7 linked regions of the Cricetulus griseus genome follow. The protein of the gene in region 7 binds, or shares a complex with, the protein of the main gene of each other region. Links are inferred from orthologs where the notes say so. Each region holds a gene or a part of one and is shown on either strand. Other genes may lie near its edges. The genes, in order: Thoc7, Sarnp, Thoc5, Thoc3, Ddx39b, Alyref and Thoc2.

What was found.
Region 1: Thoc2 (region 7) and Thoc7 share a complex: the UniProt entries of both Homo sapiens proteins name them as parts of the transcription/export (TREX) complex. The link is inferred for Cricetulus griseus from reciprocal best matches to the Homo sapiens genes THOC2 and THOC7.
Region 2: Thoc2 (region 7) and Sarnp share a complex: the UniProt entries of both Homo sapiens proteins name them as parts of the transcription/export (TREX) complex. The link is inferred for Cricetulus griseus from reciprocal best matches to the Homo sapiens genes THOC2 and SARNP.
Region 3: Thoc2 (region 7) and Thoc5 share a complex: the UniProt entries of both Homo sapiens proteins name them as parts of the transcription/export (TREX) complex. The link is inferred for Cricetulus griseus from reciprocal best matches to the Homo sapiens genes THOC2 and THOC5.
Region 4: the proteins of Thoc2 (region 7) and Thoc3 are in contact, whole or in part, in a cryo-EM structure (PDB 7ZNL), measured with the Homo sapiens proteins. The link is inferred for Cricetulus griseus from reciprocal best matches to the Homo sapiens genes THOC2 and THOC3. Residues at the interface, in NP_001075019.1 of Homo sapiens: Tyr395, Arg396, Pro401, Lys402, Gly403, Ala404, Lys405, Gly406, Ser407, Pro446, Ile447, Ala450, Arg454, Cys500, Asn501, Ala502, Cys503, Met504, Glu506, Pro563, Arg566, Gln567, Lys570, His573, Tyr603, Leu604, Thr605; in NP_115737.1 of Homo sapiens: Asp193, Met196, Ile208, Val217, Gln218, Asn221, Ala222, Pro224, Ser225, Ala244, Asp245, Ala246, Leu247, Ser249, Trp251, Asp252, Asp254, Glu255, Leu256, Val257, Cys258, Val259, Cys261, Ser263, Leu265, Asp266, Pro268.
Region 5: the proteins of Thoc2 (region 7) and Ddx39b are in contact, whole or in part, in a cryo-EM structure (PDB 7APK), measured with the Homo sapiens proteins. The link is inferred for Cricetulus griseus from reciprocal best matches to the Homo sapiens genes THOC2 and DDX39B. Residues at the interface, in NP_001075019.1 of Homo sapiens: Lys550, Tyr551, Met553, Lys554, Arg555, Leu556, Thr557, Lys558, Glu559, Tyr582, Gln586, Lys589, Tyr590, Asp591, Asn592, Leu593, Pro596; in NP_004631.1 of Homo sapiens: Leu282, Asp283, Val284, Leu285, Glu286, Phe287, Asn288, Gln310, Asn311, Phe312, Pro313, Asp335, Phe336, Gln337, Arg338, Arg339, Arg355, Ile420, Ile424, Glu425.
Region 6: Thoc2 (region 7) and Alyref share a complex: the UniProt entries of both Homo sapiens proteins name them as parts of the transcription/export (TREX) complex. The link is inferred for Cricetulus griseus from reciprocal best matches to the Homo sapiens genes THOC2 and ALYREF.

Annotation. Positions count from the first base shown.
Region 1 is NW_023276807.1:171,869,666-171,873,484, forward strand, and holds part of Thoc7 (THO complex subunit 7 homolog), read right to left. Parts: intron 3,655-3,819; exon of another isoform or gene 3,649-3,654; coding exon 3,531-3,648; intron 2,903-3,530; coding exon 2,775-2,902; intron 2,549-2,774; coding exon 2,462-2,548; intron 1-2,461. UniProt on the Homo sapiens protein: Component of the THO subcomplex of the TREX complex which is thought to couple mRNA transcription, processing and nuclear export, and which specifically associates with spliced mRNA and not with unspliced pre-mRNA.
Region 2 is NW_023276806.1:129,078,229-129,082,047, forward strand, and holds part of Sarnp (SAP domain-containing ribonucleoprotein), read right to left. Parts: intron 1,948-3,819; coding exon 1,901-1,947; intron 1,241-1,900; coding exon 1,173-1,240; intron 1-1,172. UniProt on the Homo sapiens protein: Binds both single-stranded and double-stranded DNA with higher affinity for the single-stranded form. Specifically binds to scaffold/matrix attachment region DNA. Also binds single-stranded RNA. Enhances RNA unwinding activity of DDX39A.
Region 3 is NW_023276807.1:100,003,815-100,008,228, reverse strand, and holds the start of Thoc5 (THO complex subunit 5 homolog), read left to right. Parts: upstream 1-1,569; 5' UTR 1,570-1,718; intron 1,719-1,737; exon of another isoform or gene 1,738-1,780; intron 1,781-4,414. UniProt on the Homo sapiens protein: Component of the THO subcomplex of the TREX complex which is thought to couple mRNA transcription, processing and nuclear export, and which specifically associates with spliced mRNA and not with unspliced pre-mRNA.
Region 4 is NC_048596.1:273,511,265-273,515,847, forward strand, and holds the start of Thoc3 (THO complex subunit 3), read right to left. Parts: upstream 3,081-4,583; 5' UTR 2,992-3,080; coding exon 2,725-2,991; intron 2,216-2,724; coding exon 2,059-2,215; intron 690-2,058; coding exon 485-689; intron 1-484. UniProt on the Homo sapiens protein: Component of the THO subcomplex of the TREX complex which is thought to couple mRNA transcription, processing and nuclear export, and which specifically associates with spliced mRNA and not with unspliced pre-mRNA.
Region 5 is NW_023276806.1:231,768,492-231,772,464, reverse strand, and holds the start of Ddx39b (spliceosome RNA helicase DDX39B), read right to left. Parts: upstream 2,801-3,973; 5' UTR 2,644-2,800; intron 1,978-2,643; exon of another isoform or gene 1,955-1,977; intron 1,901-1,954; exon of another isoform or gene 1,825-1,900; intron 1,487-1,824; 5' UTR 1,362-1,486; coding exon 1,151-1,361; intron 603-1,150; coding exon 475-602; intron 266-474; coding exon 173-265; intron 1-172. UniProt on the Homo sapiens protein: Involved in nuclear export of spliced and unspliced mRNA. Component of the TREX complex which is thought to couple mRNA transcription, processing and nuclear export, and specifically associates with spliced mRNA and not with unspliced pre-mRNA.
Region 6 is NC_048600.1:133,090,810-133,095,385, reverse strand, and holds the start of Alyref (THO complex subunit 4), read left to right. Parts: upstream 1-1,573; 5' UTR 1,574-1,611; coding exon 1,612-1,845; intron 1,846-2,168; coding exon 2,169-2,300; intron 2,301-3,608; coding exon 3,609-3,756; intron 3,757-4,349; coding exon 4,350-4,413; intron 4,414-4,522; coding exon 4,523-4,576. Other genes in the region: Anapc11 (anaphase-promoting complex subunit 11), read right to left, coding at 720-828. UniProt on the Homo sapiens protein: Functions as an mRNA export adapter; component of the transcription/export (TREX) complex which is thought to couple mRNA transcription, processing and nuclear export, and specifically associates with spliced mRNA and not with unspliced pre-mRNA.
Region 7 is NC_048604.1:26,151,946-26,155,764, forward strand, and holds part of Thoc2 (THO complex subunit 2), read left to right. Parts: intron 1-1,580; coding exon 1,581-1,709; intron 1,710-2,184; coding exon 2,185-2,316; intron 2,317-2,404; coding exon 2,405-2,589; intron 2,590-3,074; coding exon 3,075-3,253; intron 3,254-3,474; coding exon 3,475-3,577; intron 3,578-3,819. UniProt on the Homo sapiens protein: Component of the THO subcomplex of the TREX complex which is thought to couple mRNA transcription, processing and nuclear export, and which specifically associates with spliced mRNA and not with unspliced pre-mRNA.

The sequences.
Region 1 (3,819 bases), on a different chromosome or scaffold from region 7:
TGACTGTTCTTCCAGTGGGCTAGAGAGATGGCTCAGAGGTTAAGAGCACTGACTGTTCTTCCAGAGGTCCTGAGTTCAATTCCCAGCAACCACAAGGTGGCTCACAGCCATCCGTTATGAGATCTGGTGCCCTCTTCTGGTGTACAGATATAATACATGGAAGCAGAATGTTGTATACATAATAAATAAAAAAATAAATAAATAAATAAATCTTTAACTGGCTCAACAGTTGAGTATATACTGCATTTTTATAGAACCCAAATTCAGTTCCCAGCACTCAAAACTGCCTCAACTCCAGAGATAAGATGGCCACTCCTGGCCTCCAAAGGCACCTGCACTCATGTATACATAGACACATATAAAATATTAAAATTATTTTCAAATATTTTATGAACCAGATGAAGGCAATCCTAACTTTAAAAGAGATTAGAATAAAACTAAACTTTATTCTATCTCTAAAAATGATTTTATTTTATGCTGGAGAGGATGTGGAGAAAGGGGAACACTTCTCCACTGCTGGTGGGAGTGCCAACTTGTACAGACACTTTGGAAATCAGTATGGCAACTCCTCATGAAAATGGGAATCAGTCTACCACAAGATCTAGCAATTTCACTCTTAGGCATATACCCAAAAGAAGCACATTCATACAACAAGGACATCTGTTCAACGATGTTCAGAGAATCACTATTTGTAATAGCCAGAAACTGGAAGCAGCCTAGATGCCCCTCAACCAAGAATGGATAGAGAAAATGTGGTAACATTTACACAATGGAGTACTACCCAGTGGAAAAAAACAATGAAATCTTGAAGTTTGCAAGAAAATGGATGGAATAGAAGAAACCATTCTGAGTGAGGTGACCCAATCACAAAAAGTCAAACATGGTATTACTCACTCATATGCGGATTTTAGACATAGAGTAAAGGATTACCAGCCTACACTCCACACTGCCAGAGAAGCTAGTAAACAAGGAGGACCATAAGAGAGACATACATGGTCCCCTGGAGAAGGGGAAAATGTCAAGATCCCATGAGCAAACTGGGATCACGGGAAGGGGGGGGGAGGGAGCTAGGAGAATGAGAAGGGAAGAGGAGGGATACAGAGGGCATGAGGGAGCAGAAAGGTTGAGTCAGGCGAAGAATAGAAGATTAGAATGGAGATACCATAATAGAGGGAAACATTTTAGGTTTAGAGAGAAATCAGGCACTAGGGAAATGTCTGGAGATCTACAAAGATGCCACCAGCTAACAATCTAAGCAACAGGAGAGGCTACCTTAAATGCCCTCCCCTGATAATGAGATTGATGACTGACCTATATGCCACCAGATAGCCCTCATCCAGCAGCTGGTGGAAGTAGAAGCAGATACCCACAACTAATCATTGAACTGAACTGGAATCCAGTTGCAGAGAAGGACGAGTGAAGAGCAAAGGGGTCCAGACCAGGCTGGTGAAACCCACAGAAACAGCTGACCTGAACATCAGGGAACTTTTGGTCCCCAGACTGATAGCTGGGATACCAGCATGGGACTGATCCAGACCCCAGTAACATGGGTTTCAGTGAGGAAACCTCAGAAATCTACAGGACCTCCTGTAGTAGTTCAGTATTTATCCCTAGCATAGGTGTGGACTTTGGGAGCCCATTCCACATAGAGGAATACTCCCTGAGCCAAGACACACTGGGGTGGGCCTAGGCCCTATCCCAAAGGATATGATAGACACTGATGACACCCTATGGAAGGCCTCACCATCCAGGGGGAGCAGAAAGGATATGTGATAGGTAAGGTTTTAGTTGGGGGAGGGGTTGTAGGGGAAGACAGGAGGGAGAAGGGAACTGGGATTATCATGTAAAACAATCTTGTTTCTAATTCAAATAAAAAATGATGTTATGTTACTTTGGTGTTTTATATGCGTGGGAGTTGTGCGGCACAGCGAGAGACTCAGTTCGCTCATTTGACCTTGTAGGTCTTGGGGCTCAAACTCAGGCAGTCACAGTCACACTTGGTGGCAAGTGCTTTTGCCCACTGTGTCAACTTGCTATCCCCTAAACTTTAATTTTTCTACTAGGTAATTTTGTAGATAATGTTTGCTCTTTTCCATGTTTTGAAAGTAGCTTCATTAAACGGGAAAATAAACAGCTCAGTCTGTCATATAACTGTAATAAACACCTCTGTCATATAGCTCACCTCTACAGATTAACTGTAACACTGCTTAGGGGAAAGCATCTGAAGATAGGAAAAAAAATCTGAGAAATACTGGGTAACCAATAAAATTCAACAAAATAAAATCTTTTCCAGCCTACCTTGCTGTCTTTAAGTAACAGAGTTTTAAGAATTAAATATAATTTCTAGTTATTTTTTATAAACTGATTCACAGTACAGATTATACCTTTCACAATTAAAAACTGCACTGAAATTATAGTTGGGAATAAAATATCTCCACAAAGTCCTTCATATCATTCTTACCTTGTCGATTTTTTCGTATTCGTTTTGCTTGAAGAATTTGCTTTTTACATTCAGCAATTTTTTCATGTGCTCCGGCAATACTACATTCTATACAAAAAAAGTAGTTTTTAAAAGGTAATTATAATAACATGTATAATCTGTACTTTTAAACACAAGACATTGATGTTCTACAACACAAGTGTTCCATCTTATTACACAGCACTGTGGTTGCTGACATTACCACTGTAAATATGATGCAATTCTACTATAATACCGATATTACCAAATAGCTTTTCCTTCAAACCACAAATACAATTATACAAACATTATTTACCTATTTCTTTGTATATTTTTTCATAATTCTCCATTTCTCTGAGATTCATATCATACACCAGCAAAGTCTTGCCCATTGAAAACTCACACTGGGACAGGGTGCTCAGCATACGCTGGTACTGGCTATATCTATGAAAAAGGGAGAGAATAAAAAAATGTAAACTAAAGGAAACCAAGTTCTGATAATTATTTGTTTTATATGAAATAGCTTAGAACACCCACTCTTACTACTTTCTTTGCTAGATATGGTGTAAAACTTCTCTGGTTAGAAAGGCAAGGTTAGTGAGGCTACTGTTCTCATCAATAGTCTATGTGTGTCTGAATTAAACTACCCATAACAATATCTGATTAAGAGTTTTCTTCAGAATTCTGTTCTCACCACTTTCCTATTCTATACAATACAATCATTTAAGCAGAAAGTAAATCCATAAAAAACTTCATAAAATTAATATGTAATCATTTTGCAGCAACTTATTATTAACAAAAGAGAAATCTTCATTTAGAGATACTAAACAAATACTGATTTGTTAAAAGTAATTAAATTATTTAGCCTGAGCTCAATCTTTATTTCTTCCTTCACTGCTGTGCTTTCTGCATTATACAGACACAAAGGAGGCCTCCAAAGAAAAGGTCAAGAAAAAGAACATTTCTGATCAATCACGAAGTGGACAGAGAAAGTCAACAGAGTTGTATGGCACGGCCTTGAGAAGACTCCCCCAGGACAGACACTGGTACAGAAATGGCATGGGGAAAGTACCCCTCCTCTTGGGATCCAGAGTTGCACCATTTGATGAAGCTTTTCACAAGGAGATTAATTCTCCGGTCATCCCCGGCACCATCTCCATCAATCAGAAGACGCTTCCGTATGACTTCGTCTGCAGGAAAAAAGGTAAGTGAGAATTAAATGAACATTTGGTTCAGTGTAATTCTCAAGACAACCAGTACTACTACTCATTCAAAAGAAAATTACTGAAATATAAGTATATTTAATGCCATTGGCTGAGCTGCTACTTAGAAGCAAGAAGGTAAAATTGGTAAATTATTTT
Region 2 (3,819 bases), on a different chromosome or scaffold from region 7:
TGTCTTCTTTTCTTCCACTGTAAATCATAAACCATAGAAGGTAAACTTACATGAGATACAGCTTCTGCCTCCTTATACAGTTTCGCACTTTTCTACAAAAGCAAGTTTTCTGTCCAAGTATAAAATTCTACGCGTAAGGTTTTACAGGACTGGACATGGTAAAGCATGCCTTTAATCCCAGCTCTCTGGAGGCAGAGGCTGGTACTAAAAGGTTTTATAGAAATTTATACTGCACAGGGAATCATAGATTCTAATCAAATAATCCATTATGGTGGCACACAAAGGAACAAAGGCTAGGAGAACAGAACTGTGCCTGTACTAAAGCTAACCTGGTTCTAATTACAGAGACTTAATCTGACTTAAAAAATGGGAAAAACCCATTTTCTTCACTGGAGACATACTTAAATCAGGGAGACCTTTCTAGAAATGCCTGACCTTATCAGAAACGAAAAGGTCAGGGGGAATGTGTAACAAATAAACAGAATGAAACTTTAAAGCAGTATTTTTTTTTTTAATATACTAAGTGTTTAGTTGGTAAATGCTGCCACACAAGCCCAAGGAACCGAGTCCAAGCTCCAGTCGCCCTGTGAAAAAGACAGGTGTGGAGCTGGTGCCTAAGAACTCAGCACTGGGAGATAAAGGCAGGAGATCCCTGGGGCTCACTAGCCAGTCGCTCTGCTCAAATGGGTGAGCTCCATGCCAGTAAGAGACCTGGTCTCAAAGATTAGGTGGAGTCAGGCGCACACTTGTAGTCCCAGAACTCAGGAGGCAGGGGCTGACAGATCTCTGTGAGTTCGGGGCAGCCAGGACTACATAGTGAGACCTTGCCTCCAAAAAACAAAAACAACAACAACAACAACAAAAAGAAAACTAAGGTGGAGAGTGATTAAGGAAGACACATCATATTCCACACATATATTTCACATTAGCACACCCAAAAATACAACTATCTGCTCTTATTTAGACTATTAAAAAGGGCTGGGTGTGGTGGTACATGACTTTAGTCCCAGCACCTGGGAGACAGAGGCAGGTGGATCTCTGAGCGTTCCAGGACAGCCTAAGAGAGTTCCAAGATAGCCAGGGCTACACAGAGCAACCATGTCTCTTGCATGCCCCTATCCCACCCTCCAAAAAAGGAAGAAAAAAACAGATTATTAAAAAGGAATAATTACACATCAACAGCTTTTTCAGGAGGTTCTTCCTCTTTAACAGGAAGTTCTATAGGCTTTGGTTCTTCTTCCTAAAAACAAAATGAAACAACATGGTTAACATAAATCTAGAATATCCATTAAGAGCCAGCACCTGGGAGGCAGAAGCAGGCGGATTTCTGTGAGTTCCAAGCCAACCTGGACTACACAGTAAGACCCTGTGAAGAAACAATAATAATAATAATCAACTTTAAGCTGGATAGTGGTAGCACACACCTTTAATCCCAGCACTCAGGAAGCAGAGGCAGATGGATCTCTGTGAGTTAAGAGGCCAGCCTAGTCTACAAAGCAAGTTACGGACAGCCAAGGCTACACAGAGAAACCCTGTCTCAAAAAAACAAAAAAGCAAACAAACAAAAAACAGTAACAAAAATATCCATTTTTTTAAAAAAAGATAAATTGGGCATGGCAGTACTTAAGAGGCAAAAATAGAAAGAAAAAGAAGTTTAGGTTATCCTCAGCCACACAGTGAATCTGAGACCAGCCTGGACTATGAGATGCTAGCTCAAAAACATTAATTAAATTTTATCAGGAAAGTAAAAGAATATCCATCAAGAGACAACCTAAGAACTCCAAAATGAACCAGTCTTTGATTTCTTTTAAGCACTTAAAAAGTCAAAGGACTGACAATAAACAATCTAGCCAAAGCAATGACACATTATCAAGCCACTGACTAACCTTTCCCAACTCACCTCAGTTTCATCTCCCAGTACATCTTCTTCATTTGCTTCCTCTTCAGCTACAGAACATTAAAATATTCAGGTCAAACCCTGCTATAAAACCATCTTGATCACTGTGATAAGAGTAAAATTACAACCTCTTTACTTTCCCAAAATTATATTCAACAATAATGGCAGAACCATTCCTTACAAAGTAAGTCACATTTAGAGAAGATAAAACCAGATCTCTATTAAATGTTAGTATAAAACTGAATTCCATCTGAACTGAATAAATGCAATTAGGCTGTACTTAAGTCTCACTATAAAATTAATTTAAAAACTAATTAGGGGGGTTGGAGAGATGGCTCAGCGGTTAAGAGCACTGACTGTTCTTCTAGAGGTCCTGAGTTCAATTCCCAGCAACCACATGGTGGCTCACAACCACCTTGAATGAGATCTGGTGCCCTCTGCTGGCCTGCAGGCAGAAGACTGTATAGACTGTATACAATAATAAATAAAATCTTAAAAAAAAAAAAAAAAAACTAATTAGGACAGGGTATGGTGGTGCATGCCCTGTAATCCCAGCATTTGGAAGAGCATTTGGGAAGATAGAGGCAACACAATCAGTAAACTCAAAACCATTTGAAGCTACAGAGGCCAGCTTGGGCTATATAACATCTTGTCTCAAAAACGCAGCAAAAAAGGTGCGTGCGTGCATGCATGTGTAAAGATAACACAGTTCAATTCCCAGAACCCACATAAAAATTCAAGTATGGTGCTGGAGGACCATTGTAACCCCAGACCTGGGGAGCCAAGCAGAACTAGATTCTAGTGACAGAGCCTGAGTAAAATGACGAGGTGGACGGCTCCTAAGAGCAATACTCAGGGTTGATCTCTAGTGAGTGAGAAGCAGAGAGAGCAAGAGAGAAAAAGAAAAAATGTGTTACAGAATAACCAAGAAAATACCTTTGAAAATGGTGGAAGACTAGAAAGATGCCTCAGCCACTAGTGACCAACAAGCAACTCCACTACCTGTAACCTCAGCACCAAGGAATTTGACACCTTCTACTGGCCTCCTCAGACACCCAAACACATGTACATTCTCTCTCCATGTACATTCTCTCTCTGTGTGTCTGTGTCTGTCTGTCTGTCTGTCTGTCTGTCTCTCTCTCTCTCTCTCTCTTTCTCTCTCTCTCTCTCTCTCTCTCTCTCTCTCTCTCTCTCTCTCACACTCTCACACACACACACACACACACACAGGTGGTGAAAAAATTATTTTCAAAACTACGTACTTCTACTAAAGAACACCAAGGGGAAAAAACATAAAAGACCAATGACAGAGATATTTGTGTTTAAAACCAACAAGGTAGCCCCATGCCTGCAATTCTAGCACTTGTGGGCAAAAACAAACCCACAGAATCAGGAACAAAGAAAGTTTAAGAGAGACATTTAAACTTTCCTCATGGAGAAAAGTATATTAAGACCAACAAATTAGCAAAACTAGGCCACTTGATAGGATAATGCCAAATACAGGTTTGTGTAAATAAAAGAACCCTGAGTGGGCTGAAGAGACGGCTTAGTGGTTAAGGTTTGGTTTCCAGCACTCATATGACCACTCACAAACCATCCATCTTTATTTTAACTCCAGTTCTCCTTCTTCTGGCCTCCTCAGACACTAGGCACATACACGGTACATTAATATATACGGGCACACACCCCTACAAATGAAATAAAAATATCTTTTCTTTTAATTCACTTAATTTTTTTTGAAGCATATGGGTGTTTTACCAGCATGTATGTTTGTGTACATGTGTATAGTGCCCTCGGGGGCCAAAAGAGGCATCATCCCTCAGGACTGGAGTTCTAAATGGTTGTGAACAGTCATATGGGTGCTGAGAATTGAACTTGGGTCCTTACAAGAGTAGCTAGCACTCTTAACCAGTGAGCCAATT
Region 3 (4,414 bases), on a different chromosome or scaffold from region 7:
AGTTTTCTTTCAGTTCTGGAAGAATTCTGATGGGTTGTGCTCAGCTTGGAAAAGATGATGTTTTCTAAGCACTTACAGTTCTGTCTATACCTGTCCCACCTCTCTCCCAGGCCAGAAGAATTTCTAATTTCCCTAATGAAGAATAGCAACATTTTAAGCATTCCCACATTTCCCCAAGGCTTCTCGTCTCCAGGCCAAGTCCCCAGCTAACACTTTGGACATGGCTTAGTTTCCTAACAGACGGCATGACTAGTTGTTAAGAGGTGGGGTGTGAAGAGATACCAGACCAGGTATGGCCTCCGGGAACTCCCTGGTCTCTGTTCATTAAAATGCAAGTCTGAGCCTTAAAAACCTGGAACAGCTGTAAACTCTGAAGTCATCAAAGTCTGGAGGAGACCCAGAATTCACTCAGAGGGGCTGGGAAAGGATGGAAGGGAGGAGGACTTGGGTATATGAGACAGACTTGAAGCAGGAACCTAGGAGAAGCTGGAACATAGGACTCAGCTTGGTTTGAAACACAGAATTGGAAGATAGAGATAATGGAAGATGCTAGGAAGAGGACCCTAAGACAGATGGAGAGGCTTAGCCCTTTTTTCCTACATGATTCAGTTAAAACTTGAATATGTGTTCTAGCTCTTCTGCACTTCCTCCTTCCTACAGGCAAGAATACAGGCTGCGACCTATATTCTCATCTTGATTTCCTTCTTCCCCAATTTGACATTCTGTTAACATACCCTCGTTTTGCAGAACCACCAGGCCTGTGGAGTGGGTTCAGTGATTCTGGGGTCTCCTCAATGACCCTCATACCTCATGAGCCCCTGCCTAGCATGGTTTTGCTACCATACCAGGGAAATGTACTGGGATAGTTGATGGAACCAAATTAAATATTTACTGTAAATTGTGGTGTCTTCATCTGCAGTTGTATAAGGCAGGGCAGTGTCCAGTTGGCTGGGGGGTACTGTGCCCCTGATCTCTCAGAGAAGACATTATCTTCACCCCAGGGGAAGAGAAGGAACTATTTCTGCATAACCAGATATTCCATGCATGTTTCAAGCCCCCAAACAAGTAGGATTCACTTCAGAATTACCTGAGGTTTTCAAATACTGCATTAAGGCAGCGATTTTTGTCATGAAAAATCAAGCTTAACATGGAGAAACAGTGACGCACTTGTGTGAAGGGGGAATGGGCGTAATATGGAATTATACCTGCCTAATTAAGTGCCGCCTTTGGTGTAGTGATTCTGACAGTGTTAAGAATTCAAGTTAAAGCCTTTAATTGCAGTGGGGTCGGGACAGGCGGGCCTGAATGAGTTAGAGATCAGCCTGATGTACACAGCGTTCAAGGGCCAGCCAGTGCTATATAATGAGAGCCAGTCTCGCACACAGTCAGGAGGCAAATCCACCTAGGGTCCCAGCTACGGCACAGCGACACTCTAGTGCTTTTTGAGCATGCCATGAATTCAAGTGACTCGGCAGAGAGCCCACTGCGCTTGCGCTGGTGAGGAATGGAGCACAGGCTCTAGGTCCTCATCGCCGCAGTTTTCCAGTTTTGGAGGGTCGATCAGAAAAGCAGCCACGCCGCGTACACGCCCCTTCCTTGCTTCCCAAGCTGCATCAGGCCTTTGTGTTTCACTTCCGGCCAGTAGCTCTTTTCTTCCGCTTCTCTATGGTCGTGATCCGGAAGTGGCTGCCTGGCTGGAAGGCGTGAGGACCATTGTGGTGAGCGAGGGTAGTGTTGCGAGCTGGGGTTGCTGGTCGGCGCGAGGCGCACGGGGTCTGAGGTGCTGAGGACACGCCGCGTATTTCCAGGGCTGGGGTCCTCACTTGCTGGGTTCCCTCAGGGCTCGTGGCTGTTTTCCCCCTCCTGGGACCTAACCGGAGCAGCATCCTTTAGCCTCCGTAGGGTGCTGATGGCTGTGGTAGTGACAACACCGTGCTTATGGTCCTTTTGTGTGTGTGTGAAACTCTCCCGTGTGACGTTTGGGATTTCCCAGGTTTTTCGCTGCCACTTTTGTGGCTTTTGTCAGAGGAGCCCGCCACTTGATTAACTGTCATTCACAGCCGCTAGAGGCCGGCTCTCTCTTCACTTAACGCGCCGCAGAAGACTCCAAGGAGTCGTAGTGAAAGAAAATTCGTGCATTTATTGTTGGAGCGAAAAGGCTGAGAGCGTGAAGTGTGGATGTCAGGAGGGGAGGGAAGCATGGCTTTTCTTTCAAATGTCCCCTGTTTCCTATCTAGCTGGCCTGATTTAGTTTAGTTGTTTCACTAAATATTTTACTTATGTTACTTTTAAGAAAAAAAACAAGATTTTTTTTTTTTAAAGTTATACTGCAAAGGCCTGGTCAGTAAGAAGAGGTGCCACCTGCCCTGTTAATGAAGAATTTGAATGCAGTCTCTATAGTTTATTCTGGCCGGTAGCTCCCCCTGCTGGCTTCACATTCGCAAAGATCCTTCTGCCTCAGTAACTCACTCAAGTGTGGTTACTGATGTGTACCACCCTGTCTCAGTCCATCCTCCCTCCATTTTTTCCTTGGAGACAGGATTTTATTATGTAGTCTATGCTGACCTGTAAGCCACTTATGTAGCAAAGGATGATTGATCTAGAACTTCTCATCTTCCATCCTCTACCTCCATAGTGTTATTATTTCAGGCATGTCCCACCACAGTTTTATAAGGTCCAGGAGTTCAATGTCTTTGAGTGTGTTAGGCACACACACTCTACCAGCTGAATTGCATTCTCAACTTCACAGTCACTTTTTAAACTTAAACTTACTTTGGTAGAAAACTTGAGGTCTGTGTATCATAAACAGGAAACTGGTTGCATTTGTCTTATGATAATGGTAGAATTGCATAATATGTATAATGTAATGAAAACATGACTATTGATAAATTCTGTCTTGGTTTCCCTGTCTAAGGCTCTGAGAGAGAATTCATTTCCTTTGTGTTTTGTTTGTTTGTTTGGTTTTTTGTTTTGTTTTGTTTTTTAAGACAGGGTTTCTCTGTTGCTTTGGAGCCTATCCTGGAACTCTCTCTGTAAACCAGACTGGCCTGGAACTCACAGAGATCCATCTGCCTCTGCCTCCCGAGCCCTGGGATTAAAAGTGTGTGCCATCACGCCCAGGCAAGAATCCATTTCTTCCAAGAACCTTGGCACTTGTTAACAACAAAGTAGGAAACTAGATGTACTTGAAGCAATCAAAATTTTGTGTGATTTTTGTTTTTTAAGACAGTGTCTTGGTATGTAGACCAAGCTGTCCTCAATCTCACAAAAATCCACCTGCCTTTGCCGTCCCCCCCTCCTGCCCCAGTGCTGGGATTAAGGTGTTTACCATCACACCTAGCCAAAAATAAGTTTTTAATTGGAAGGGGATAGCACAGCATGATCACCCATACCTATAATCTGATTACTGGTGAGGCTGAGGCAGGAAGGTCTCTAGGTTGAATTCTGGAAAATCTCTTTTGTTTGTTTGAGACAGTATCTCCAAGTAGCATGGCTGCCCTTTCATTTGCAATGTAGACCAGGCTGGCCTCAAACTCACAGAGATCTCCTGACTGCTGAGATTAAAGGTATGGACTATCATGCCCAGCTTAATTCTGGAAAACCTTAAAGATTTATTTATTTATTTTTTGAGACAGGGTTTCTGTGTATTGTTTTAGAGGTTGTCCTGGAACTCCCATCTGACAGGCTGACCTGGAACTCACAGAGATCTGCCTGCCTCTGCCTCTGCCTCTGCCTCCCGAGTGCTGGGATTAAAGGTGTGTGCCACCAATGCCCAGCAGCTTTATTTATTTTTATTATGATGGTTGTGAGGTATCCAGTGTGGGAACTGAATGCAGGTCTACTGCAAAACGGTACATGCTCTTAACTGAACTGTTGAGCCATCTTTCCTATCCCTGACTCTGGGAAATCCTTTCTCTCTTTTAGTGTGCCCCCTAATAAGCCTCTGAATTTCATTAGAATCCATGTGACATCTATCTTTCTTTTTTCTTTTTCCTTTTTTCTTTTTGGTTTTTGGTGATAGGGTTTCCCTGTGTAGCTTTAGAGGCTGTCCTGGAACTTTCTCTGTAGACCAAGCTGATCTGACTGCCTCTGACTCCGAAGTGCTGCGATTAAAGGCGTGAACCACCACTGCCAGGGCTATTTTTATTTCTAATGTCAATTAGTTTAGATCCATTGGGCCTGGTGTGACAGAAAACATTCAGTAACAGATCTCTCTCTCTCTTTTGGTTAGTTTGGTTAAGATTTTGGCTATCTGGTTTGTCTTTCATAAGAATCAGCTCTTTCATTAGCACTTCTTTTTTTCTCTTTTTAAAAATGATTTCTTTTTAAAAATTTTATGTACATTGGTGTTTTGCCTGCATGTATGAGGGTGATGGAACTTGAACTGGAGTTATAGACAGTTGTAAGCTGTCAT
Region 4 (4,583 bases), on a different chromosome or scaffold from region 7:
GAAACCCTGTCTCAAAAACAAAACAAAACAAAAAAGAGCTTCTTATAGGAAATGTGTAAGATACATTAAAACCCTCCTCTAATCTTGGAGAAAAAGCAGGATAGAAGGATGAAAGGTTACAAAGTGAATTCCAGGACAGCCAAAGAAACCCTGTCTCAAAACACAAAAACAACAGAAAAGGATGAAAGTGACTGTGCTAGAGGGAAAATACTATTTAAGCTGAAATTTTAAGGGAGTGAATTCAAGGTATACTAAGCCCCTGGGCCAGCTATCTGATAATTAAGTGAACATTTACAATCAATATCAGTAAGAACTCAATAAAATGCAGAATATCTGGCTCAAATGTGCCCCTAAAAAAAACTAGGATTTTTAAATACTTTTTCTTTCAAGTCTTCTAGGTTAGGCTCACACTTAACTCATCTATGTACCTGACATAGCACCCAGTACAGAGGTACAACAGTCCCTCTAGCCAGAAGCCCCTCACCTGAGAATGTTGATACAACCGTTGCCATTGGTCAGGAAGAACATGTTATTGTCGTTATTCCAGGAGATTTCATTGACCTCAAACTTGAACTGCTCTTCCGCTTTGGAACGGTGTGTCTTGGCATCGATAAAGGTGACAACATCATCCTTGTTGCCCACAGCAATGGTCTGCCCATCGGGACTCCAGCAGATATTAATGTTCTCCCCTGGGAACCCAGACACAAGCCATCAGCAAGATCATCCTTGCCCATCCTCCTCCAGAAGCTTATTCTGCTACCCTAGAAAGAAGATCAGAGCTCTCTTCAGTGCTCAAATCACCAAGACAATGGAAGAAAGCTGCTGCTGGCAGCTAACATTTGTCCAAAAGTACCACGTCACACCACTCCCAGAAACCAGTCTTGTCATCTAAGTCCAGGAGTCGTCCACACTGCACACAACTTCATGGAATCAAAAATGCCATTTTTCTTTCACACTTTACTATCTATAGTGCATTTAAAAATCTATCAGAATTTGTTTCGGAGCAGGGTGGTGGTGGCACACACCTTTCACTCCAGCACTCAGGAGGCAAAGGCAGAGAGAGTTGGATCTCTGAGTGGATAGCCTGGTCTACAGAGAGAGCTCTAGAACACCCAGGTCTACACAGAGAAACCCTGTCTCAAAAAAAAACAAAGCAAAAATGCTTTGTTTAAAAATAAATAAATAAACAAAAACATTTTTGTTGTGGGGCTGAAGAGATGGTTCGGCACTTAAGAGCACTTGTTGTTTTCCAGGAGACCCAAGTTAAATCACCAGCACCCACAGTTCACAACCATTTGTAACTACATTTATAGGGGATAAGATGCTTTCTTCTGGCACCTGCATACATGAGGCACACATACTTGAAAATAAAAAAAAAAATCTAAAATAAAAAATAAAAAGAATTAAAAAAAAAAAGAAAAAGAAAAAAATCTGGGGCTGGGGAGATGGCTCATCGGTTAAGAGCACTGACTGATCTTCCAGAAGACTTGGGTTCAATTCCCAGCACCCACATGGCAGCTCATACTGTCTGTAACTCCAAGATCTGACACTCTCACACAGACATATATGCTGGCAAAATACCAATGCAAATAAAAGTAAATAAATTATTTGAAAAAAATTAAAAATCTAAAAACAACAAAAATGTTTCTTAAAAGATTGTAGATGACCTCTTAGAGTCAATTATGCTAGACTCAAGATTTACAGGGTATTATATAACAAGAAAACAGCGTTTGAATGTGATGTACAACTTTCCAATCATTTCTTGGAAACCAAGATCATCCAGGTTTCAGCCATTCTAACCTGCCAGAATCTCCTAAATCCTCTATGCCTTCACACACACTACTCCTCTTTGTATTGTTTCCACCGCTCTGACCAGTAACTACTACAGATGATCAAAAAACGTGCTCAAATTCTACTCTTCCTTGTCTCCTCCAGACGGACATGTATACATCATCCTGATAACCCACTCTGTGGCACTAGCTGCAAAGAACACGGTCAACAGTTTCTGGAAACTATAATTAGCTTTTCTACCTAAGGCTCCTCTCTCTCTGAAGTTACCTTTAGTATTCACAGTGGCGATGCACTTTGTAGTCCTCACGTCCCAGATGCGAATGGTTTTATCTCCAGATGCGGTGACAAAGAGGTCAGGGTTGCTTGGGTGCCAGCAGAGCTGATCCACACTATCTCCGTGGCCCCGGTAGTTGTTTTCTTTGACCTTAAAAGAGCAGAATCCAGGTGTCACTTCACACAGATGCACCTGCCTCCACACGCAACTTAACTTTTATCCAAACGGTGGTACCCTGAAACCGGCAAAGATGTGGACGATCCAAAAGAATCCAGTCCTTTCCAGAACTTCAGCCCCTGTGAATTGTTCTGAGCTTGGACACTGGCTCTTCTCTTGCCCTTCCTGCCCTCCCCTCTTCCACCACCATCATCATCCCAATCCAACGGTCCATTCCCAAAGGAGGCGCTATCGTTTCCAAATAAAACCTCTCGACCCCGTGGGGATGCCAGCACTCCCCGCCCAGGGCTGCTCTAGACCCTGACCACTGCAGGCCACCTGACTGCACCTCTCCGTCCCGCAGCCCCTTCGCCACCGCCTAACTGCCACCAGGTTCCCGCTCCGCGCTCCTCCGGGCGGCCTCGCCCGCTCACCGCACCACCAACGACGGTGCCCACACCACGTCCGCCTCTTCCCGGCCGGGCCGGGCCCTACAAGCTCACCAGCCGGTCCTTCTCCAGCAGGAACACGCTGGCCGTCTTGTCGAAGGACCCCGAGGCCAAGCGACGGCCGTCGCAGCTCCAGGCCACCGAGTGCACCTTGGCACTGTGCGCCGGGAACTCGCGCGTCTTGCTGTGGCCTCGGAACAGCTCCTGCATCCCGAGCACGTAGCGAGACGGGCCGCTGCTCATAGAGCACCAGGGCGCCATCGAGCCGGGGCCGCTCTGGCTGACCGGCGGGGGCCCCAGGATCGACGTGGGCGCCGCCATGCCTCCGTCTCGCTCCCTCGCTCTCTCTCTCAGTAAGGACCGCGTACCGGCGGCTACAGACACCGGGCCCGGCGCCGCTGCGGCGCGCATGCGCCGGGAGCAGCGCGCATGCACCAGGAACGCCGCCGCGTCACTCTGCGCAGGCGCGCGTGTCTCACTGGCGCCCCTCCCCCCAAGGGACTGCAAATCCCGCCATGCAACGCGTGTCCGCCTCTAACGTTTGGAAGTAGCATTTTGGAAGAGTTCGACTTTTTTAATGGTCTTCTAACCCGTTTCTTGATAGTCTCGCTTATTCGAAGAAGAGAACCAAGATAAAGCCTCCAGTTTACTTACCAGTAGAATATCTTTTTTTTTCCCCTCGAGACAGGGTTTCTCTGTGTAGTCCTGGCTGCCCGGGAACTCACTCTGTAGACCAGGCTGGCCTCGAACTCGGATTCTCCTGCTCCTGCTTCCCCAGTGGGGACATTAAAGGCGTGCACCACCACTGCCAGGACAAAAATACCCTTTTCAATAGAGCTGTTTTTTCACTACAAGGCCCTCTTCCCTCCCTTAAAGCAGAAGGCCACAGCAAAGGAGAAAGGTTAGCTGTTTGTGGAAATAAGGAGTTGGTTAATGAGAGTGTGGATTTGTTGGTTTGGGTTGGGCAAGGTTGCTTGGTTGGTTTGGGGGTTTTGTTTTGTCTTTTGATCCTAGTTTTTAGAATATATTGCATATGTATGATAGCAATTTTTTTCTTTTTCTTTTCTTTTTTTTTTTTGGTTTTTGGAGGCAGGGTTTCTCTGTGGCTTTGAAGATAGTAAATTTTTAAGAAGAGTGAAAAGTAAAGTGACCACTTGTGTATGCTACATTCACATCTCAGCGCCTCCCACTTCTTACATCTCTCTTAGACAAAAGATATTCAGCTGGAAAAACATCAATGGTGAGCTCCAGGATGAGCTAAGGCGCTGTACAAGAGCTCTGAGCTCGGGATAGGGGGCCCTGAAGGAATATGTTCAACATATAATGTATACTTGTGTGAAAATGTCTGTATGAAGCCAGCTGTGGTGTCGAAGGCTTGTAACCCCAGCACTGGGGACGCAGAGGCAAGCAGGCATTTTTGGAAACTGTGAAGATTTTATACAAAAAAGTGTCAGTGAAATCAATGAAGTCTTTTGGGTACAAATCTATTTGCTAATTTTCCCTCCTTACATTTCTTTTTCAAATATTTCATATGATTGCATATTTTTACCATGCACTGAGAACTTATACCTCCTGTGTTAGAGGCAAAGTGGCCTACCCCAAGTTACAAGACTAACATGGCAAAGCAAAGTATTCTTTTTGTTTCGTTGATTTTTTTGAGAAAGGGTTTCTCTGTGTGGCCCCGGCTGTCCTGGAACTCAGTCTGTAGACCAGGCTGGCCCCGAACTCAGATCTTCATGCTTCTGCCTCCCCAATGCTGGGATTAAAGGTGTGTGCCACCACTAGCCTAGTGGGGCTTTCTGCTTAAACAACAGTAGGTTGTGAGACAAGTTAGCAGGAATATAATCACAGGTGTTTTGTTCACAAGTGAAAAACCGCCTTTCAGGCAAAGGAATATGGCCATCCCATAGAGG
Region 5 (3,973 bases), on a different chromosome or scaffold from region 7:
AGCCCAGGGCCCCTGAACTGACTTTGTGGATCAGAAGAGCCTGTCACTGTACTAAAGGCTCCTATGCAGCCTTCAGGAACTCATCAATTACAGCGGCTCCATGCCTCAGGACAGTCAACTGTTACCCCACAAGCTCCCAGGACCTCCGCTGTCCCAAGCGCCTCACCCTTACCTTGACATTCGGCATGTACTTTGAGAAGCGCTCGTATTCCTTGCTGATCTGAAAAGCCAACTCCCTAGTGTGACACATCACCAGCACAGACACCTTCAAGGGAACAAATGGAGACAACACCCTATCAGTCCTTTGTCACCCTCTCTCCAGAGTGACTGTCAACAGCAGCATCTGTCAAGTTATTTGTGACATCAAATCTGAGGTTTAAAACAGTAAGCCTTGCTGCTGTAAGCATTATGTAGCCACAAACAGCCTTCAGTGTATCGGCCTCAAAGCCCTCTGCAGCACTGCCTCAAACACACCTGCCCAGTGATTGGCTCCAGCTGCTGCAGTGTGGCCAGGACAAACACTGCTGTCTTCCCCATGCCTGACTTGGCCTGGCACAGGACATCCATCCCCAGAATGGCCTGTGGGATGCATTCATGCTGGACTAGAAGGAAAAAGGGGAGAAAGAGAGAGACTTTATGCACCATACCAAACCCCTTTCCTCGAGTTGATTCTCCAGATTTTGCCTGGTCCCTGTCACTTTTCAGACTGACCCATCCTCTCTGTCCCCTTAGTCACATTTACACCCAAATCAAGTCTCAACTGCATCCTAGCTTCAGGTTTCCCTGGCGCAAACCCTCTTGCACCTACCAACAGCTTACCTTCCATGTGCCTGGCATTCTATAACCTTGGACAAAATGAAGGACTTGGTACTTGCCCCAGAAGCCAGCAACTTTAGAGCAATCATTAAGACCCCAGGTGGCCTGGCCCAAAATACTGGATGTAAAACTCCAGCCAAACAGTCAGAAAGACGATCAAGCAAACAAGAAAACCTGGGCACAGGACAAACAGCATCCTGTGTGATCAAAGCTAACAAGCATCTTCTAGCGCTAACATCTGGGTACATTCTCATTGCCTGGCCTATATACCCTAAACACAAATCCCATCTTTAAGATGCATCATGAGGTCCCTATGCCCAACAATAAAATGTACCCTCTGATGGATGCTCAAAGCCACAGTCCACGATGGCCCGGAGCAACTCTGGCTTGAGCAGGAAGTCTCGAAAGCCGGAGCTGTGGATGGAGACGTAGGAGCCCTTCACGTCTTTCTTGGCAGGAGCTTCCGTCCCATCTCCACCTGCTGCTGTCTCCACCTCGTCGTCTTCATAGTCCAAGAGCTCATTGTCCACATCATTCTCTGCCATAATTGGGCCGGCAGGGGAGAAGGGAGGTCTTTGGGTGAGTGGTCCCAGAGAAGGTGAGAAAGCAAGGGGGAGAGAGGGGGCTGAGGAACAGCAAGGGAAGAGACACCAGTTTCCCGACAGAAGAGCTGGGAGAGAGAACAAAAAAAAAAAAAAAAAGAAGAGCTCATCAGTCACGTAGGGACTTCTCGCCCACCCTCACTTTCTTCGTGTTCTCCCTCAACTACAAACCTCTGCCCTGGAAGAAAAGTAAGAGAAAACGAACACCGGGCGAGAAAAAATGGAGAGTGGTCTCGGGTGTGACTGCTGGACAGACTTGGGCTCGCACTTTGACCCAAGAGGAGCAACTCCCGAGACCGTGAAAAGATGAGCCCGAAGCCACCCGCGGGAGGGTGACAATGCGTGGGACAGGAGGGGACCTCAGACTGCGCTCTCCCTGTGGCCCCACGGTGTTGGTCCCCCCAGCAGCCATCAGTCAAGGGTGATAGATGAAGGTCAGCACTGCGCGGAGCGCTCACTTCCCATTGCAAACATCACGTGGCTGCTACTTACTCCCCTGTCCAGCGGCACCTGCGTGCCGCGCTGGAGGCGCTCACCTGGGACCCCAGTCCTGGGGGAGCAGGAGCTGAAGGACGGAGGGCGGGGAGGCGGGCCCGCTGCACCTAACCGCGGGAGCAGGGGCGCCAGGGGCTCAAGGCCAAAAAGCAGGCAAACAACGCCAGAAGCCGGCAGCGCAGACAGTTACATTTTAATGCCTGCCCGGCCACGCGCGAGGCGCTCGCCACAAGGGTGGGCTTTCAAAGCCGCAGGCTCTCAGCTGGGGAAATGCAACCCTCAGGCTGGGACTTGGTGCCAAGCGGCCTTGACAGCGTCTGGCGCGCCCCAGCCTCGCTCCTCCCCGAAGGTGAGCATTCCGGGAGCGCCGACGCCGCAGCGGGCAAGCAGAGGCCCTGGCGGCTGCTCGTCCCCGCCGCGGGCCGCGCCGGGCCCGCCCTCCCGCCAGCGCCGCCTCCGGCCGCTGCGGCCCGCGCGGGAAGGGGACCCACGGGCCACCCAGGAAGCGGGGGACACAATGGCGGCCCGGGCCTCCATTTTGGATCGTCGCCCCCGTCTCCCCGCTCCCCACCGAGGTTCGCTCAGAAAGGGACGAAAACGACGGCACCGCGCGCCCGACCGAGCCGCAGCGGCCAGGCCGCCGCCCGGGCGACGGGTATCAGGGGCGCGCGCGCGGGCGCGGCGGGGCCGGAGCGGATGGCGGCGGATGGCGCGCAAGGCCCCAGCTTACCTAAGCACTGCGAGCGCGTATGGCGGCGGCGGCGGGGACGCAGGCGGGAACCTGCCTTCACTTCCGGTCCCGGGCGCTTTTCCCCCCCGGCCTGCCGCCTTCCCGGCCGCCAGGGCGCAGGCGCGCGATGCCGGAAACCGGAAGTCGGCAGCCGGAAGCCGGCGGTCCTGGAGGCTCCGGCCGCGCCCGCTCGGGGGTGCCTTCGGAAAAGGTCTTCCGACTCCGCCGCCGCCGCCGCCGGTGACCGGAGCGCGACGCGGGCTCGCACCTCCCCGCCCCCTCACCGCGGCGTCCTTCGTCCTTTCCCCGCAGGCTGCCCTCGGGCACCGCGGAGTCTGCGTGCCGAGCGGGACGCGTCCTCACGGCGCCCTTAGCCTGGCACCCAAGGTGACCTGAGGGTGCCGAGCTCAGTCAGGCTCCCGGGGCCGGGGGAGGTGGGGGGGCGGGCACGCCCTTCGCGGCTGCGCTGGGAACGAGCGGAGCTGCCCCAAATGGCGGCGGCAAGGCGGCCACTTAGGAGATGGAGGTTTGCATTCTGCCCGCGCGTTAACAAAATAAACGGTGCGTTTGAGGGCTTCGCAGCTTTCCATAGTTGTTGTCGTTATCATCGGTTTTCTCGAGACAGGGTTTCTCCGTGCGGCTTTGGAGCCTGTCCTGGCGCTCGCTCTGGAGACCAGGCTGGCCTCGAACTCACAGAGATCCGCCTGCCTCTGCCTCCCTAGTGCGGGGATTAACGCGTGCGCCACCAACGCGCGGCTCCATGGTTATTAATTAGGGCAGAGTGCTCTTAGTCCCACCACAGCGGCTCCATTGTTCAGCCTGGGCCTTCTTCCCCCTCTAAACACGTGGTTCTCCCTTCTTTGAGATGCTGCATACACGAGGAGCGATGTCCTGCCGACTATAAGCGCGAGCTTCCCCTGTTAGCACACTTTACTCAGCTGTTAAGTTGGCACCCTCGTCCGCAACCCTCAGCATCTGACAGCCGCCCCCCTCCCACCGCCTAGGAGTAGGTGGGGATTCCTCGGCCCCTGGTAAAGTAGGAAATGCTTTAGCTCCAGGGGCCTATGGCTTTGAAGTTCCCAGGAACTCTTGTAGTAAGCCAGACGGCAGGCTCTAGGCCACCTCTTTCTTCCTGTTGTTCCTAAAAGGCCAGGAAACACCCCTCGGGAGAGGCCTTTTATTGAACCTAACGTAGTAGCACTGAGGAGAGTAACATAGTGAGGTTTATCCCCGTTGAGCCCCCCAACTGAGTCAAACTTCTACTTTACAGCCTGCAAAGGATGTTTGCACCAACACAGCAAAGTCGTGCAAATCAAGGCTTGTGTTTGCA
Region 6 (4,576 bases), on a different chromosome or scaffold from region 7:
AGATGTCAAGAATGGCTCAAACCCCAATAACAAGACATTTGGGGAAAGATGCTGGAACGAGGATGCTAGAGCAGCTTTGTGAGACACGGGGCTTAAGTTGCTCATAGTTTATAAGCATCAACTTAAAGTATGGAAACTGCTGTCTGAACTTCAGTGTGCTGGGCAGGGGTATCCTCATTTGTTCTGCTTTGCTTGGAGAAAATTCAAACTGGAAGTAGCATTTTGAGGAATTAAGAGAATGACCAATCATCACAATGTATCCCAGGCAAGCTTCAAACTCAAGCCTCCTCTTGCCTCTGTCTGTGCCACCATGCCTTGGCAAAAACAAAAGTGTTGTTTTTGTTTATTTGCTTTTCTTTGTTTTTACAGACAGACTCTCATTATGTAGCCTCCAACTCAGAGGCTACCTGTTTCTGCTCCCAAATGCTGGTATTACAGATGTTTGCCACCATGCTGGATAGGGTCTTTATACAAAAGTGAGTTTGAAGAATTCGTTTATTTTCTGTCAACTTTCCTTCAGGAAATGGAAAGTAAAACCCACGGTTTTATTTTCTGGTTTTCTTAGTTTTTCGAGACAGGGTTTCTCAGCGTAGCCCTAGCTGTCCTGGAATCTCGGAGATCCTCCTGCCTCTGCCTCCCTAGTGCTGGGAAACCCAAGGTTTTCAAGGCTGGTGGAGCTGGCCGAAGTTCTGAGAGCACGGGGGAGGGGGGGCACTTACAGTCTGGACAGCAGCCATTAAACGCCATCCTGCAGATGCCACAGTTCTCATCGTTGGCTACCCAGAGCCACGTGGCCACACCATTCCAGCACTTAATCTTCACCTTCATGGCAGCAGAGCGTGCGACCTGAGGGAAGAGGGTTTCCTGGCTAAAGTTACTCTGTATTACTACCACAGACGGCACTTGAGCATTTAAGGCGGGGAGCTGCGTGCTAGGCGCCTCCAGGGAGCCAGGCTCCCAAGTTGTTTTGCTATGTTGAAGGTCGTTTTTAGAGCTGTGCACCCAGGTAGCGGGCCAGGCTGGCTCACGCCTTTAACCTCAGCGCCGCGGAGGCAGATCCGCCCAAAACCAAAGGAGGAAAACAAAAACAAAAACCACTGCATCCATGAAAAACACCTCGGTTTTCACTCACAACCCGCGCGTGACAAGCCATCAGCTTGCTAAATTTAAATAAAATTAAATTTTAAAAAACCATCCCTTCGAGCCCACAAACCCCAAATCGGATCCACAGATCGGCCCCCCGCCTCGCAGCTCAGGGACTCGGCGGGCGGACGGACCGAACTCGATCCGGCGCCTTCCGGCCTGCGCAGGGCGGATCCCAGGCCAGGCCCCGCCCACGCCTCGCCCACTCCACCTAATCTCGCGGCGCCCCGCCCTTCCGTTGCAGGAGCGCGGGAGGTATAAAAACGACCGCGCCGCGCCGGGCGCCACACACTCGCGCGGGCCGTCCTCCTGAGCGCAGCGCAGGCGCCCTCCGCTCTCCGCGCGCGCCGAGGCCAATCAGGGGCAGCTTCGGGGGCCGCGACGCCGGAAGACCAGGGGAAGCTCCGGAAGTGACCTAGCGACGTGCTGACGCGCGGGCTCGATCTGAGGCCCGATTCCGCGCCCGCCATGGCCGACAAAATGGACATGTCTTTGGACGATATTATCAAGCTGAACCGGAGCCAGCGAGGCGGCCGCGGCGGAGGCAGGGGCCGTGGCAGGGCCGGCGCCCAGGGCGGCCGCGGCGGGGCGGTGCAGGCGGCCGCGCGGGTGAACCGAGGCGGCGGGCCTCTGAGGAACCGGCCCGCCATCTCTCGCGGCGCCGCCGCCGGCGGCAGGAACCGGCCGGCTCCTTACAGCAGGGTGAGCACGGGAGGCGCGGCGCCGGCGGGGCGGGCTCCCGGCGCCCTGAGGCGGGCGGGCGGGCGTCCTGCGGGAACCGCGGGAACGGAACGGAACGGAGGGTGGGCGGGGGCGACGCCGCGCGGTGAGCGAGGCCCCGGTCACAGGCCGGGATCTTCCGGGACGCTTTGTCCGGTCCGGTCCCGCCTCGTGGCGGCGGAGCGGCGGGCGTGGGGGTCGTCTCCTCCGGGCTCTCGGGCCGCCGTGAGAGAGAGAGTGTGAGTGCCGGGGAGGGATCGGGGCGCCCGAGACGAGGTCGCTCACGAACCTCTCTTTCCCTTCAGCCGAAACAACTTCCAGACAAATGGCAGCACGATCTGTTCGACAGCGGCTTCGGGGGTGGAGCCGGCGTGGAGACCGGCGGAAAACTGTTGGTGTCAAACCTTGACTTTGGAGTGTCAGACGCAGATATTCAGGTAAGAGACCAGAGCCGTCCGCATGCTTATCCCCACACACAGAATCCCTTCTGATCAGAGCCTGTGCTCCCCCAGGCTGCCCAAGGGCCAGCCGCTGCCCTCACAAAAAGTAGTATCCCCTGGGGTTTGAATGTGACTGATAGGTCAGGCTGCTTGGAAGGCAGCCTGGTGTGCCCCCAGAGTGGCTCTTGTCTGCTAACGTCACGAGCACCTGCCGTCTGCAAGGCTTACAGTTTCTAACGGGCACAGACTGGCCACAAGTCCGGTCCCTGTGTGACCGAGGGTGCTAGCTTCTCAGGCTTTGTGCCTGTAGTAGTAAGCTTATGAGAAGGAAAACTCTCCCCACCCCCACATGTCTGAAGGCACAGGGGTGAATGGTGGCTGTGTGTCTTCCAGACTGACCTTTCCTGGGTCTTACCAGGGGCATTGTTCTCATACCTTTGGTTGAAGTCTTTTTTTCTGTCTGTCTGTCTGTCTGTCTGTCTGTCTCTCTCTCCCCCCCCCCCCATCTCTATCCTCTCTCCCTCTCTCTGTCTTTCTTCTGGCCCTCAAATGCAATTAGAGTTAACAGAGCAGGTTTTTAGGAGTTAGTTTTGGGTCATGGGTGCTGGGCCTTTCTGGGTTCCCTTTCTCAGAGCCCCGCCATTTGGCCTTGTCAGGGAGCATAGAGCAAGGCCAGTGAGCACTCACAGTGTCTCCACACTTTTTTTAAGGTGGTTTCTGGCATCCACTGGAAACCGCTTTTGGTGAACTTCACTTCCCGCTGTGTGCCTGCGGCCGAAGTAGCCCCACACTCTGGGTTCCCTCTCCAACTCCCAGCCTGCCTGAGGTCAGGGCAGTCTCCATGGCGCATTTGACTTCAGACTTTGCAGCAGGCTTGAGTAGGAGGAGAGGGAAAGGTGAGCCAGAATCTGCCTTTGGGGGAGGGGCTTGGGTCACAGCTCCCCAAATCAGTGGGCCCTTTGAGCTGTCTGCTCTATGAACAGCTTCCCTTGGTTTTTCTCTTGGCCTTTGCTATCTGATGAAACAGCCATTAGTCAGGTTGTGAGTGCCCTTGCTGAGAGAGAGGTAGTTTCTGTGTGCTTCCTTCACCTGCATCATGGTACAGTCACACACGTCCCAACGTGGACAGGAACCCAGGTGCTCAAAGTGACACCCTTCCCTCACCTCTTGATTGCCTCTGCCCCGCCCCTTTTCTGGGTGGTGGTCAGTAAAGTAGCACCCAGGAACCCTCACAGCTACTGAACTGAGCCTCTAGAGGGAAAACAGCTTAACTGCTTGGCTAACAGTTGCCCTGTCCACTTCCAGGAACTCTTCGCAGAGTTTGGAACGTTGAAGAAAGCAGCCGTGCACTACGATCGCTCTGGCCGAAGTTTAGGGACAGCAGATGTGCACTTTGAACGGAAGGCAGATGCCCTGAAGGCTATGAAACAGTACAATGGTGTCCCTTTAGATGGTGAGTATATGGGGCTGGGCCCAGGATGCCTGGGGCTTACGGAGTTTGGGGCTGGCACCTCTCCCTGTAGGAATATGGGCTGCCCCTGTGGCTGAGGACACTTTGCATTTGCCCCTTTGTCTCTCTCTTCCATTCTGCCACCTCTCATGCTGCCCCACACATCTGGACCAACCTCTTGTGAACCCCCATCCAGCAAGCTACATCCCTCCCCTCCTTCAGCTCCTTCCGGAAGATTCACTTCTGTGAAGCCTTCTCAGAACCGCCATAGTACAACCTGAGTGCGGGGCTGTAGTCGTAAAGACAAAGGTACCTGTTCTTCTTCCGTCAGGCTACCCACACCTGTCCACCCATGAGCACCCTGGACACCTGACCAAACAGCCCTCTTAGCCTGAACTGAGAAGGAGTGAGGAGGTGTTGGTGGGGTGTTATTGCCACTTTATTTTCCCACCAGGCTCTCTAGGCCTTGTACCTTGTTGGGGGCATTGGAGACACACAAAGGCCCTTTCTAGAGCTTGCATGGAGACCAGGGTGTGGTGCCTTCTGGGTCAGCTTCAGAGCCTCTGGAGTGAGACTTGTTGTATTCTTTACCATAGGCCGTCCCATGAACATTCAACTCGTCACATCACAAATTGATACACAGAGAAGACCTGCACAAAGGTAAGTGCTAGGGCCCTTGGGGATGGGGAAAGGCCTGTGGTTTGTGATAGATAATGCCACCTACAAGGCCTTTGCAGACAGATGGCAGCATTCTGTTTTTCTTTGTTAGCATAAACAGAGGTGGCATGACAAGAAACCGTGGCTCTGGAACTTTTGGTGGTGG
Region 7 (3,819 bases):
GCCTCGAACTCACAAAGATCCACCTGCCTCTGCCTCCCCCTCCTGACTGTTGGGATTTAAGACATGTGTAACCACGCCCAGGTGGAATAGCATGATCTTGTTTTTTGGGGGGGGTTTCTTTTTTTTTGTTTTTTTGTTTTTTTGTTTTTTTGTTTTTTTTTTGGTTTTTTGAGACAGGGTTTCTCTGTATAGCTTTGGAGCCTATCCTGGCACTCGCTCTGGAGACCAGGCTGACCTCGAACTCACTGAGATCCGCCTGCCTCTGCCTCCTGGGTGCTGGGATTAAAGGCATGCGCCACCAACGCCGGACCTTTATTGTGTTGTTTTTTTGTTTTGCTTTTTTGTTTTTTTTGAATAGCATGATCTTAAGAGCGAAATTCTTGACCTTGAATCCTAGCTCTACTTACTCCTAACTATATGATCTTTTACAAGATAGTTAACCTCTCTGTGCCTCAGTCTTCTTATCTATAAAAGGGGCCCACTTTATAAGATTGATCTGAGGGTTAAATGTGTCACTATATATAAAAACCCCATGTAGCTAGGTGGTGGGGATGCATACCTTTTTTTCCCAGCACTCAGGAAGCAGAGGCAGGAGGATCTCTGTGAGTTGGAAGCCAGCCAGCCTGATCTACAGAGTTTGTTCCAGGACACCGAGGGCTACACAGCAAAACTCTGTCTTGAACACCCCCCCCCCACCAAAAAAAACAACTCCCCATGAGATGGTATCTATTGCATTCAAGGTTAACCCATTGACTCAGGATTTTTATAATCTTGTATCTTTATAAGTAGGTTTCTCTACTCTTAACTTTCACTCCTCAAAACATAACTAAAGAAAACCTTCAACTTACACATTCACACCGCATAAAAGCCGGAAAGCATTTTAGTGTTGTTGTATTCACAGATTTTTCATCTGGCTTTTTTCTCATTACTGCATTTGTGGGTTAGAAATATGTGTTATATCATGTGTGCTGCTTGTTTCTAAATGTTATCACCTTTGCTACAAATTCTTTTCCAAAGACCATCTCTCACCTTTCTCACATAGACCCATATTTTAGTCCAAGTTACTTCTGCTTTAGTAACGATGGTGATGAGATTAAAACCAGCAGTGGTGGCGTTTGGATGTGAAATATCCCCATAGGTTCATATATTTAAATACTTTGTCCTCACCTGGGGGCACTCTTTGGGAAGGTTGTTGGACCTTTGTGAACTAGATATTTGCTGGAAGAAATGGGTCACTAGGGGTAGGCCTTGCTTTTGCGTACTGTCTATTCAGTCTCAGTCACAAATGGCTAAGTCTTCAAGAAGCTATTTAATAATAATAATAATAATAATAATAATAATAATAATAATAGCCTTTTCTTCTATCATTATCAACCAAATTTCTTCATAAAACTTTACTTGGATGCATTGTGATTGCTGTTTCTCCACAGAATCTACAGTCACCAAAGATCTCTGTAGTTGTGAATATAAAAGGAGAAAGTATAGTTTTTACGAAATTTAATGATTATTGTTATTTCCTATAATAATAGTCTTTTAATAGTTTTAGTCTGATAATCTTTTTCAAACATTTTTTCCTCCAGGTTTTTTCTGACATAATTTACACGGTCGCAAGCTGTACTGAAAATGAAGCTAGTCGATACGGGAGGTTCCTCTGCTGCATGTTAGAGACAGTGACCAGGTGGCACAGTGACAGAGCCACATATGAAAAGGTATGCGATTGGTAAATGTGTTAGAGACAGTGACAGAGCCACATATGAAAAGGTATGCGATTGGTAAATGTGTTAGAGACAGTGACCAGGTGGCACAGTGACAGAGCCACATATGAAAAGGTATGCGATTGGTAAATGTGTTAGAGACAGTGACCAGGTGGCACAGTGACAGAGCCACATATGAAAAGGTATGCGATTGGTAAATGTGTTCGTCTTTTACCTGTGTGGATATTGATTGCTTCAGATTGGTCAATTTTAAAACAATTTAAGATTCAGCTATAAAATGATCTTAAAACCACAATTAATATATTATTAAAAAGAGGAATTTTTTAATTGTATCTCAACTTGACATTTGAAGCTGTTACCACTGGATAATCTGAACCTTTCTTTTATAGCTGGTTACTTATCTGGTCTCACTCTCCTATTTTGTGGGATAAATTAAACTTCTAAAAATGAGAAACTTATTTTTTCTTAGGAATGTGGAAACTATCCAGGATTCCTTACCATATTGCGGGCAACTGGATTTGATGGTGGAAATAAAGCTGATCAATTAGATTATGAAAATTTTCGACATGTTGTACATAAGTGGCATTACAAACTAACCAAGGTAAAAACAAGTGGACATTTTTGAAAGGTAATTTTTTTCTCTTCATTCCTGTATTTTATGATAACAGATCTTTAAATGTCTGTTATAGGCATCGGTGCATTGCCTTGAGACAGGCGAATATACTCATATCAGGAATATATTGATTGTGCTAACAAAAATACTTCCTTGGTACCCAAAAGTTTTGAATCTGGGTCAGGCTTTGGAAAGAAGAGTGAATAAAATATGCCAAGAAGAAAAAGAGAAGAGGCCAGATCTATATGCATTGGCTATGGGGTAACACAATTATACTTTAATGTGATTTATGAGACTAGATTACAGAAGGATTCTGAAGATGTGAAAATGTTTTACAATGTTGAAGTCTTATCTTCTGCTTTACTTCAGGAGATTATGGGAGATTATGCGATCATGTTCCCACAGGCTGGTGAGAGTTGTCACTTCTGATTATCAACTTCCGGTCTATACTGGATGATAGTTTCAAAGGCCACATATAATATTTCTTGAAATGGAAAAATGCAATTTTGTCGTAGTTACTATATCTTGAGGAGCAAAAAGGGGGAAAAAGGCTCTCTAGTTAAAGAACTAGTTTATTTTGAAAGAATGACTTAAGTTTTTAGAACACTATAGACCTTGAAGAATATACTAAAAAGCAGTAGTTTATTTTCTAGAACCAAGTAGCAGAGTGAATAATTTATTCTAAACTCCATATTTGTGTTTTTTGATTTGTGTATGTGTATTTAAACGCTTTGTGCGACTTTCAGCTACTGGGGGATGTTGAAATGTAGAAAGTCACACATGATACCTGAAAATGAATTTCATCACAAAGATCCTCCTCCAAGAAATGCTGTTGCCAGTGTACAAAATGGGCCTGGTGGTGGGACTTCATCATCATCCCTAGGAAGTGCATCTAAATCGGATGAGAGTGGTACTGAGGAGACTGGTATGCTTATTTGTAGACACTTATCAATAATATATTGAAATAGTTTATCACATGATAACTACAATGCAAGCCCCAGATTGCTTTTTAATCCCTAGTTACGAGTATGTAACTGTTAAGAAATAATCAGCTTCCTAAGTCTTCTAATTATCCACTAATCATTTTGCTGTGAATTCATAGTTTATGTTTACAGTTTGCTAACAAAAGTCTTGTTTTTATTTCAGATAAACCAAGGGAGAGATCTCAGTGTGGTACAAAAGCTGTGAATAAGGCTTCTAGTACCACACCAAAAGGGAATTCAAGCAATGGAAATAGTGGTTCTAACAGGTAAGAACATTATGCCAAGTGTCACAAGTCTAAATTCCTGTCGTGTGTGTGTGTGTGTGTGTGTGTGTGTGTGTGTGTGTGTGTGTGTGTGTGTGTGTGTGTGTGTGTGTGTGTGTGTGTGTGTGTGTGTCTGTAGGGAGGTGTATATGCACATTTGTATGTATGTAGGTAGTGGTGTGTACTTGCCACAATGTGCGCAGAGGTATAACCTCAGCTATTACTCCACACCTATTCCTTGTTTG